Linked DNA regions of Canis lupus familiaris. The protein of the gene in region 2 interacts with the protein of the main gene of each other region in a pairwise test. Links are inferred from orthologs where the notes say so. Each region holds a gene or a part of one and is shown on either strand. Other genes may lie near its edges. The genes, in order: TMEM239, COQ8A and TFIP11.

Region 1 (2,942 bases), on a different chromosome or scaffold from region 2:
TAGAGTAGGTCTCTTCTGGGATCCTCACTACCCTAGTAGTGGCCCATCTCCCAGACTCAGGGATGCTCACCAAGGCAGAAGGGAAGAAGTCTAGGGAGTGGGGGATGCCTGAGCAGAAAGGAGCGAGAGGTGTTAGTTGAGGTCTCATGGGACTTCTGGACGGCCTTCTCCCAGATAGGTTTCTGTCAGTGGGCTCTTTCTAGAGCCTGGGGAAAGAGCGGAGGTTGGGGGGTTAGTGAAAGGAATGGCCAGTCAGGGCTACCGAACTAGAAATTCTCAACTGAGTCCGCAGCTGAGACAGCTGAGCAGCTACAAGAAAAAGCTGCTGCCAGTTGCTAAGGGAGCCCTAGTGGTGTCACTACAGCCTTGTGGGAACTCTCAGTGGCTTGGCCGAGCTCTGCCCCTGGCTAACCCTTCTGCCCTGTCCCTTCTCAAAGCCCCCAATGCCCCACACCAAGTACCTGTAGCATTGGCTTGGGGAAGGTGCCCAGAGGTCAGGCTAGTCTACCCTGCCAGCTTTAGCAACATCACACATGGCCCGAGCAGTGCTAGGGATGGGAGGTCTGGGGCCTCCCCTTCCCCAGGGCTCAACAGACACAGGCAGCGGGATGGGGTTGCCCTTCTATTGGTCCAAGTCCTGAGTGTAGTCTGGGTGAGACATGGAGGTGAGGAGGCCCACGAGGCTCAACAGCGTGGAGAAAAGCAGCAGGAAGGAGGCCGTGAAGAGCAGGGCAGGGAGGGCGCTGAGCACCAGCAGCAGGACAGCTGGCAGCAGATGGCGCCACGCTGCAGTCACGACAGGCCACAAGGAGCTCAGCAGGTAGGAGCCGGTGGTGAAGAGCGCGTGGCATAGCATCAGCGCCAGCAGCAGGTAGAGGATCCCCTCCAGCCCCCACAGCACACGCTGGAGTGGCTGCCGCCAGCCCGATGTGGTCCACCACTGGGCCCAGCTCCGAGGCATGTGGCACATGCACCAGCGCACCCAGGCCTGCCGCATGACCCAGGCTGACCAGGGCACTGCCTGCTGCGGCCCCTCGCCGGCCCCGATGGCACCCGTCTCCACTTGGGGCTGCTGCATCCTGGCTGGTACACCTGGGGAGAGGGCCAGGCCAGCTGCAGGAGCAGCCCCGAGATGCCTGGGACCTCAGGGCAGGTGGGGGGCAGGAGGCAGGGGCAGGAGGGTACCAGCACGGGTGGGGTGAGGCTTTGAGCCAGGGCCTGGGGCTTACCTCTGGGCAGAACCACCTAAGTCATGTTGCTTCCTGCAGCACCTAGGACGGCCTAGCGGCCAGAGTGGAGCCCCTGCTGTCCCTCTGTCCCCCCTTCCCCCCCACCAGATCCCTATTGTGACCCGGGTAGGGGTGGGGTCCAACCAAGAGAGGAGTCACTGCAGGATGTAAGACTCACCTGAATCCCTTTCCACGGACCCTCCAGGCTGCCAGGGGGTGCTGCTGAGCCCACTGATGCAGATTGTCACGCTTTCTTGTGGGAAGCCCCCTCCAGATCCTGGTTCCTACCCTACTAACTGATATCCAGTCCTACTCTGCTCTCCTGTGAGTCTTTCTGGACACTGATACTCTAGAACCACAGAGGAGGCCAGAATGGCCACCTCCCAACCCACAAACTCGGAGATGGCTGCCACATCCTGCCCTGGGACCCCCGTCCCTTAGCTCACCTTCTGTTGCTGTCCTCAGACTCAGACCCGGGTATCCACTGTCCACATTGTGGAGCTGAAGGTCCCCTGTGGTTCAGACTGGAGATAAAGGGGTACCCTCCTGCCTGCTCCACCCACAACAGAGGAAAGGCGATCTGGGGAAGCAACACTGCCAGTGTATTTCTGGAGGGCACTCAGATCCAAGGATGGAGGTAGAAAGCCAGGCCAAGCAGGGCCAAGGGCACGCTGCAGGCTCCCAGGAGTAGCCCCAGGCTCAGGAGCAGCAGTAGCAGAGCCTCCTGGGGGCTGAGTTGTCCCGTGACTGCCACCGTAGGCAGGAGTACAGCCTCCTGCAGTCCTGGGCCCTCACCGGCCCCCTGACTCTGGCCTGTGAGAAGTATGTGCTGTGGTTGGACGGGGCCTGCGGGGCTGTGGAGAGACAGGGTGACAGCTGGGCTTCCGGAAATTGACTATTTGTTTCCCTGCTTACTCCTGCCACCTGCCAGGCTGCTGCACACTTACCAGTGGAACAGGTCGAAGGTCAGGAAGCTGACCAGTAGCAGCAGCAGCAGCAGCAGCAAGACTGGGCCAGCCGTGGAAAAGACTGCCCGAACTGTCAGTCCCAGTGCCCCCAGCCCTAGGACACTGTCCCAGAGCTGGGCCGGGCTAAGGCCCCAGGGAGACATACATGGACTTACTGGACTATTCGACCCCTCCCCAGCACTCAGGCCCCTGGGAGGGACTGGGATAGGATAAGCAGGGCCTTTGGGCCTGGGCAAGCAAAGCTGGGTCATAGAGGGAGGTGGAGATGACAGGAAGGACTAGTGCTGGGAGGGAGTTGGGGTGGGTAGGTATGTGGGACCGGGTGGGGCCCTGACAGACACTCGAGAGTAAACTGCGTGGGAATCTCCGCCTCCCCACACACTCACTCACCACACCCTCCTCACCTGCTACTTCAGTCAGCTGTTATGGGACTGGGCAGCTGGGACATTGTGACCTATTGCCAGGTGGGGTTCTGGGGTACAGAGGGAGCTGTGGCTGGTTTTGACCTCCTAAGCAGCTGGTATCTTAGGTGAGGCTTAGCCAGAAGGGAGTCATGATTTCTGAGAACTAAGACTCATCCTCTTGCCTTGGTGAATTCTCTGCCCCCAGGACTCCCCAAGAGGATCTGAGTTACCAGGAAGGCATTCTAACCCCATCACCACGTGGGTAAGAGAGGAAGGGCCGCTCTCTTTCTCCTGCGGGTTCCCAGAGCTCTGTGTCCAGGGACAATTATTCAATCTTCCTG
Region 2 (3,745 bases):
CCTGCCAAGTTTGGACTTCTCTAAGCTTCGTTTTGAGAAAGAAGAAGTGACCTCTCTGTCCAGATCCTTTTCTACTGGCAACCAAGGGCACCCAAAAGGCCGCCTAACTAAACCAAGGAATGTCACAGGAAAATCCTGATACACATCCACAGGAGTCAATTAACAAGACAGAAATCGTGGGAGATCGGGGCTTGGGATATTTTTCCTTGCCCTAGGCAATAATCACTGTTTTTCAGCTTTTCTGCATCCCATCGATTTGGTACTTTGAACTTTGGGACATAAATTTTGAACTTTTGGACTGAATGCAAAATCTAGACTTAAAAATAAAGCCTCTTTCTCTGCATCTTTGTCACTGACATTTCAATCACCCATAAAGGAACTGTACAAGTGATACATGTGCCTCTCATGAGGGGCACACAGCTCATGTCAGCATCCCCACACAGACGCTTGAAATGCAGCCACTTACTTTCTGCACACACAGGGCTGGTCCCCTCCCACATCATAAGACACAAGAAGATGACCAAAGCATCACCTTGAAGAGCCACTTGTGGATAATGGAGTTGACCTTTCTGCCAAGATACAGAAGCCTGAAACTTGTTTAGTCACTATTTTAAAACTGATCCATGGTTACTCCACATGCATATCCCCCACTGTCTTGCAAAGTCTCCAAAGATAGAAACCACCAGGCTTCTACTTCTGTTCGCTCTGGACCGTCACTGCCACGCATCCAGCAGGCCCCGGCAATGCCCATGAGCTTCTACCTCCTATGGCTCTCCTCTCCCTCCAGTTGGGGGGGCGGGGGGAGTGGTCTCTTTTGAAGCCTGTCTACATGGCTTCTATCACTGGTTCAGGGCAGGGGGCACACTACTATCTCTTGTCTAAGCCTCTCAACTACTCACTCACAGGTCCCAGCACGTCTCTCCAGCAGCATGAGAAGACTCTTTTTATAGTCTTAGCTCAATAGTTCTCAACCAAGGACGATTTTGCTACCTACGACACATTTGGCAATGTCTGGAGAAATTTCTGATTTCTCTAACAACCAGTGTGTGTGGTTGGGGTGGGGGATTGCTACCAGCACATAGCGGACAGAGACCAGGGATGCTGCTGCACATCCAGCAATGCACAGAGCAGCCCTCCCACAACAAGGAACTGTCCTGTCCATATGTCAATAGTCTGAAGACGGGGAAACCTGTCTGCGGTGACACATAGGAAGTGCTCAAATCACCTGGGTCACTTTTCCCTCAAGCTGCCCAAGGTCAGGCCAAAAATTGTAATAACCCTGCACTGTCTAGAAGACTGAACAAAATACCCAGAGCCACCACCAGAGTCTTAAGGACACTGCTCCTGTGAACCAACAGTACCCCCCTCTTCCCCTCTCAGGAGAAGGGCCATCCTGCCAGGATGACCTGTCCATCCACAACAGGACAACTGGCAGGCGAGTATCACGCTGCTGGGATCCTCTGGCAACCCGTTAGGCGTGGCAGGCCCAGCTCTTGGGTCTTCTGTCACGCACACCCCAGGGCCCAAACGAGCCCAAGTTTTCCAACGGGCTGTGCCGGGACAGGCTGACAGGCAGCCGAGGGCCTCTCGCCCTTCAGGAGGCTGGCACCCCTCAGCCACGTGGAGAGCCCCAGCGCCCACACCTGCCTGGCGGCCTCCCGGGCCCCCCGGGCCCGCGCACACACTGCGTGCGGCAGAGGGCTGGGATGAGGGACAGGCACCAGCTCAGGCACTCCGGGGACCCCAGTGCTTGCAGAAGCAGGAGGAAGGGCCCACGAAAAGCGAACGGAGCAGAGGAGCGAGAAGGGCCCCCTTTCCCAAGTCCACCCCGAACCCCCACCTGTGAAACCCGGGAGTCGGAGCTCCGGCCTGAGCCTGCAGCAGGCGGCACGCCCAACCCCGCGCACGGGCGGCGGGCCTGGGAGCGAGCACCGCCGGGGAACTGGGAGCGGGGCCGGGGGCGGGCGCACCTCGGCACGGGGAAGCCGCCCGGGCGCGGGGCACCGGAGGGAGGGGCGCGCGCAGGCGGAAGGCGAGCCCGGCCGTGCCTTCGCGGCGCGCGGCGGCCTTACCCGGCGGCAGGAAGCGGGGCTCTGGGTCACCTTCGCGCCGCCTGCGCGATGCCCGCCGCAGCGCCGGCGCCGCCAGCGCCCCGGATCTGTTTACCTCGCCGCCCGCGTCCGGACTCCCCGCCCGCGGCCCCGCCCCCTGCGGCCGCGGCCCCGCCCCGCGGGCGCTCCCATTGGCCGAGCCGCCGTGCCCGGCCACACGCCGCGCGGCGCGGAGCAGCGTGCTCGGCCCGTGCGCGCGCGCCGCGGCCAATGAGAGCCGAGGGCGGAGCGAGGGGCGTCCAATGGGGGGCCGCCGGGCGCTCGGGGCCCCTCCCGCCCTCGCTCGGCGCTGCCCTTTGCCCTAGTTGGGAAACCGCTACGGCTGGCGGCGCCCACTTTCCCTAAGTGGGGGGCCGCGTGGTGGGCTTGTGCCCGGGGCCGGACCTTCCACCTGCCCTCGGCTCGGGGGCGGAGGACCGGGGGATGAGTGTGAGCCCCGGGACGGACCCTCCGCCCGCCCTCTGCTCCCGCCCGGGACTCGCGGAGCCCCCCACGCCTCCTCCCCTGCCCCCAGGATAGGAGTGTCGTGCCACGTGTGTGTGCATACCTGCACACGTGCATGCTCACCCCCCCCATAACCCAAGACTCAGGTGGGACACTCCGCTGAGAAGCAGGATGCTCCAGGAATCCCCCTGCCATCTCCAGAATGCTTCCTAATGTTTTTCCCACCAGCCTGCGATGACGCTTAGCCACCTCTCACCCTTTGCCCCATCCCCACCTCTGCTCCCATTTTCAGCAAAGCTCATGGAAGAAGTAACTGCATTCATTTTCTCTGCTTCCTTCTCTCCCATTCTGCCTGAAGCCATCTGGTCAGCCCTCGCCCCGCATGTCCCCCAGAACTGCACCTGTGACCTGTGACCTCCAGGCTGCCAGACCAGGCAGTCTGTCCTCAGGGCTCATCTAAACTATGGTGGCAGGTGACAGGGGTGGCCACGCCTTCTGTTTTCTCGGTGATTGCCCTGGGGTATAATTAACATCCTGATCCTAATAGGAGCTTAATTCCAATAATACACAGAAACTTTGCTCCTATATAATTCCATTCTACTCCTCTTCTGTTTGGTATTGTCATACAATTACATTTTTTATATTGTCTGCCCACCTCCACAGATTTATCATTATTGCTTTATGTGGTCGTTTTCAAATCAAGAGAAGAGGGGCCCCAGGGTGGCTCAGTTGGTGAGGTGTCTGCCTTGAGGTTGGGTCATGATCTCCCAGTCCTGGGATCAGCCCCATGTCTGGCTCCCTTCTCAGCAGGGGGCCTGTTTCTCCCTCTCCCCTTGCATGTGCGCTCGCTCTCTCACTCTCTCTCTCTTCTCTCCCTCTCTCTCTTTTCGTGCTTTCTCTCAAGTCTTTTTTTAAAAATCAGGAGAAGTAAGAGTTACAAACAAAAAATATATTAATGCTGCCTATTTACCTATATAGTTTCCTTTACCAGGGTTCCTTATTTCTTCATGTGCATTTGAGTTAACGTCCTTTCATTTCAGCCTGAAGGACACCATTTTTTTTTTTTTTTTTTTTTTTTTTACACGGCAGGTGTGCCCTAATGATGAATGCCGGCAGTGTTTGTTCATCTGGCAAAGTCTTAATTTGTCCTTCATTTTTGAAGGACAGTTTTACTGGATATAAAACGTTGA
Region 3 (3,745 bases), on a different chromosome or scaffold from region 2:
AACCTCACTTTCTAACATCTTTCCTGACTACACACTGTGTGTCGGCCTCGGTGACACACGTCAGTGGGGACGCAGAGACCACGGGAGTCACAGCGCGTGTTTCGAGAAGCTGGCAGTCGCTTGCCTTCCTGTGGGTTCTGGTTTCATTCACAACGGCGGGAAGTTGGATCCAGATCTTTGACTAAGAGCCGGGTGCGCTCCGTGTATTCTTAACAACTGCCGCTTGCACCTTTTCATCATAGGAAGGAGAGAGAAAGAACGTGAGCGAAGACTAGGGGCTGACACGCCTAGGCAGCCCTGTGCTTGCACATTTCATCTCCCCGGATCCTCAACCATTTTGCAGAAGAGGAAAGCGAGGCTTCCAGAGGCGCAGGGACTAGGGGGGCCCCGGGCCCGGGTGCTTGCGGGGTGCAGAGGCAGCCGCCACTCCCCGGGCGGCCCGAAGCCCTTGAGCCTCGGCCCGCGGGGCTCCGCACGGTCCTATCAATCGGTGAAGGAATGAAGGTCTCGACCACGGGCTGGGGGGCGGTTCCCGGAGGGAGCGCGTGGGGCCCTGGTCCGCCCGTCCCTGCGCTCTCAAGCTCCGCGCCCACCGCGGTGCTCGGCCAGGGGCCCCGACGGCACCCGAGACCTTGCTCCCGCCGGCAGCCTGGCCCCGCGCCCCGCGCCCCCCGCCCCGCGCCCCGCGGCCGCCCGCTGGCCCTCACCGCTGCCCCGTGCGCCAGTCCTCTAGCCCCTTTTACGCAGTCGAGTCTCAGACTGGCGGCGGGGTCCCCGCGGGCCGGGCGCGGCACGGAGGTCGGGGAGGTCGGGGAGGAGGTCGGGGAGGTCGGGGAGGTCCGGCAGCGCGCCCGCCGCCATCCGAGGCCCTGGAAGCCCCGCCTCCTCCCTCGCACTCGGCCCCGCCCCGTTGGAGCCCGGGACGCGCTCGCCCGTCGCGGCCGTGACGAAGAGCGCCCCGCGCCCGCCCCCGCCCCCTTGTACGTCATTTCCGGCGCGCCGCCGCGGGCACATCCGGGCTCCTGGCCTCCGGCCGGTAGCTGCGCTTGGACCCGGGACCTGCGGAGGTGAGCGGGGCGGGGGTGCGGGCAGCGGTGGGGCGTCCCCGCCGGCGGGCGTGAGTGCGGGGGACGCAGCCCCTCCGCGCAGCCTGCTCCAAGCCTGCTTTCGAGCGCCGTCGGCGCGGAACCGAGGCCCGGTGCTGCCCCTGGCTCGTCCGCCCCGCGCGGGCTCTTCGGGGGCCCGGGGAGGCCGAGGCGCTGCGGAGCCCCGAGTGCTCGGGGGCGCTTCCCTTCTGTGCGCCCCGCCAGCGTGGCGGGGGTGCAGTGAGCCGGGGAGCCTGGGGACTAGCGCCCGGACGCGCCGGCCCCCGCGAAGGCTGCTTGCCGCCCGCGGCTGTGGTGACGCCGCGACGCCGCCGCCGACCCGCCGGAGCTGGGGTTTCAGCAGTCCTCCCCGAGGTCCCCTCCCCAACCTACTGATAGTGGCGGTGAGGAACCTGATCTGGGGCTACCGTAACAGCCCTTGCTCCCGGAGCGTTTTTACTCTGAGCTTAGTATTTTAAATTTTTTAAGAAATACTTATTTGAGAGAGAACGTGAAGCGGGGTGGGGAGGGGCCGAGCTGGAGCGGAAGAAGCAGAGTCCCCGCCGAGCAAGGACCCCGAGGTCTTGACCTGAGCTTAAGGCAGATGCTTATCCAGCTGGCCCACCCAAGCACCCCTGAGCTAAGCGTCTTTTAGGCACCACCTCGTTTAATCTGGCTCACAGGCATTCCCAGAGGGTGGGGGTAGAGTCAGCTGAATCTCATCACTCAGCTACCAGGAGCTGAAATCTCTGTTAAGGTAGGGTTTATGCCTTCAGAAGAAGTTCATGTTTTGGGAGGAAAACTTTTAAGTCTTAGGGTCTCACCAAGTAATATACTTCAGGAAGCGTGTTCTAAAAACCATCACTCCCGGTGGTGAACCGCCAAGGGTCCAGATATAGTAACTCTTTCCTCATATTTAGTTGTTGTTGATCCTTCGTTTTGACTCCAGAGTAACTACATTTTTTTGTGAGATTGTAAAAGTACCATTGAAGTTACAACTAATTTAAGAAGAATGGGAGAAGGCCAGTTAGAAGCCTCAAATCTTCCAGCAAACATCTGGCATTCTGAGGTGACAGTGTCCGTGACAGGCGAGCCACCCAGTGCTGTAGAAGAAGAAAAAGAAACAGCTGAAGAACCGGAAAAAGAAGTCCTCCCAGACATCGTAGAGCCACTCTCCATTCTAGATGTGCTGAGGATCTCTGCGGTTCTGGAAGATACTGCAGACCAGCTCTCTATTCTAAACTATATCATGCCAGTTCAGTATGAAAGAAAACAAAGTGTCATCATGGTATTAAAAAAAAAGGGGGGGGGGTTCCAGGAAGATGCCCACCCCGTTTCTGAGGCAGTAATAAGTAGAATAACATACCGAGTTATTTTTTTGTGGGTTATTTAGGTGTGAGTGTGTGTAAAGTTTTATGACCTTGACCAGGACAGGGAATCGCATATTGTTGGGACCAGTCTTTTGTCCCACCTGTTTAAATAGTGTTTGTTTTCTGAAATATGTTTTTAATGTCTGCCTTATTGAACTGTTAACAATGATTTTTAATCATTGGGACTTTGAGTGTGAGGAAGTTTGAAGGGAGTGAGGAGCAGGGACGGAAGCCTACTGCTGCTCTCCCCTCAGGACTTACCACAAACCACGTGCCTTTTTTATTCCTTTCTTTAGTGACCTGTCATGTCACTGTCCCACTTGTACCGGGATGGGGAAGGCCACATGGATGATGATGACGATGAGCGGGAGAACTTTGAGATCACCGACTGGGATCTCCAGAATGAATTTAACCCCAACCGGCAGCGCCACTGGCAGACCAAGGAAGAGGCCACCTATGGAGTGTGGGCAGAGAGAGATTCAGATGAAGAGAGGCCCAGCTTTGGAGGCAAACGGTACTGGCCAGCATGAGACTGCTTCCTCCTCGCTTTAGGGAAGATGGGGGGTGGTGGGAAGATAGCCCACTAAATATACCTTTCTCCTGGCCTTACCAAGTCCTGTAGCTACGATATAAGCTAGGGAGGCCCAGCTTCCTCTTTGGCCGGAGTGCTGCTCTTTTGCTGATTTAACCATCACTTCATGTTTAACGAGCAGTTATATGTACCATGTCGTATACTGCAGCCCCATTCCTTTCCTTCTGGGAGCCCAGACGCTAGAGCATGGAGACACATTAATTGACAGCTCATACGATGGAAGTTTATAACTGATTTAGGACCTGAGAGAGAGAGAGTTTGGCCTATTCTGGGAGGTGAGGGAAGATTTCTCTAGAGAAGTGACTTTTGAGTTTCTATTACAGCAGAAGGTAATGAGGGTGGTAGGAGAGGCACGGGTATGCAGAGGCTCCTGAGGGGAGGCGGTGGGTGTCCACAGGGGTACAGAAAGCTTTGCAGGCTGCGGTGAGGGAGGGAGAGGGGGCATAGTTTGAGAAGAGGTCTGTGGTAGAGCGGATGATGTGGGCTGCACTTACCTTTGGAGAAGACCTGTCAGTGTGCAGAGTTGACAGGGAGCTGCAGGGGAAGAGGAAACTCCATGAGGCAGGAGAGGAGGATTCAGGCCAGTAGTCGTCCTCCCCAGTGTGAGAGGTCATGTGTGCAGTGGCCACAGCTCACTTGACCAGAGCGTGTAGCGAGTTTGGCTTTGTCTCTGTGTTTCGTCTGTGGTTTGTAGGCTC

What was found.
Region 1: the proteins of COQ8A (region 2) and TMEM239 interact in binary tests that used the Homo sapiens proteins (3 or more experiments, as listed by UniProt). The two-hybrid records come from large-scale screens. The link is inferred for Canis lupus familiaris from reciprocal best matches to the Homo sapiens genes COQ8A and TMEM239.
Region 3: the proteins of COQ8A (region 2) and TFIP11 interact in binary tests that used the Homo sapiens proteins (3 or more experiments, as listed by UniProt). The two-hybrid records come from large-scale screens. The link is inferred for Canis lupus familiaris from reciprocal best matches to the Homo sapiens genes COQ8A and TFIP11.

The regions. Positions count from the first base shown.
Region 1 is NC_049245.1:18,897,768-18,900,709, forward strand, and holds TMEM239 (transmembrane protein 239), read right to left. Parts: upstream 1,812-2,942; 5' UTR 1,676-1,811; exon of another isoform or gene 1,230-1,675; intron 1,093-1,229; 5' UTR 1,079-1,092; coding exon 623-1,078; 3' UTR 610-622; downstream 1-609. Other genes in the region: C24H20orf141 (uncharacterized protein C20orf141 homolog), read right to left, coding at 1,849-2,083, 2,177-2,448.
Region 2 is NC_049228.1:38,071,928-38,075,672, forward strand, and holds the start of COQ8A (atypical kinase COQ8A, mitochondrial), read right to left. Parts: upstream 2,197-3,745; 5' UTR 2,073-2,196; intron 2,061-2,072; exon of another isoform or gene 1,971-2,060; intron 1-1,970. UniProt on the Homo sapiens protein: Atypical kinase involved in the biosynthesis of coenzyme Q, also named ubiquinone, an essential lipid-soluble electron transporter for aerobic cellular respiration.
Region 3 is NC_049247.1:20,595,546-20,599,290, reverse strand, and holds the start of TFIP11 (tuftelin-interacting protein 11), read left to right. Parts: upstream 1-1,014; 5' UTR 1,015-1,067; intron 1,068-2,751; 5' UTR 2,752-2,760; coding exon 2,761-2,969; intron 2,970-3,745. UniProt on the Homo sapiens protein: Involved in pre-mRNA splicing, specifically in spliceosome disassembly during late-stage splicing events. Intron turnover seems to proceed through reactions in two lariat-intron associated complexes termed Intron Large (IL) and Intron Small (IS).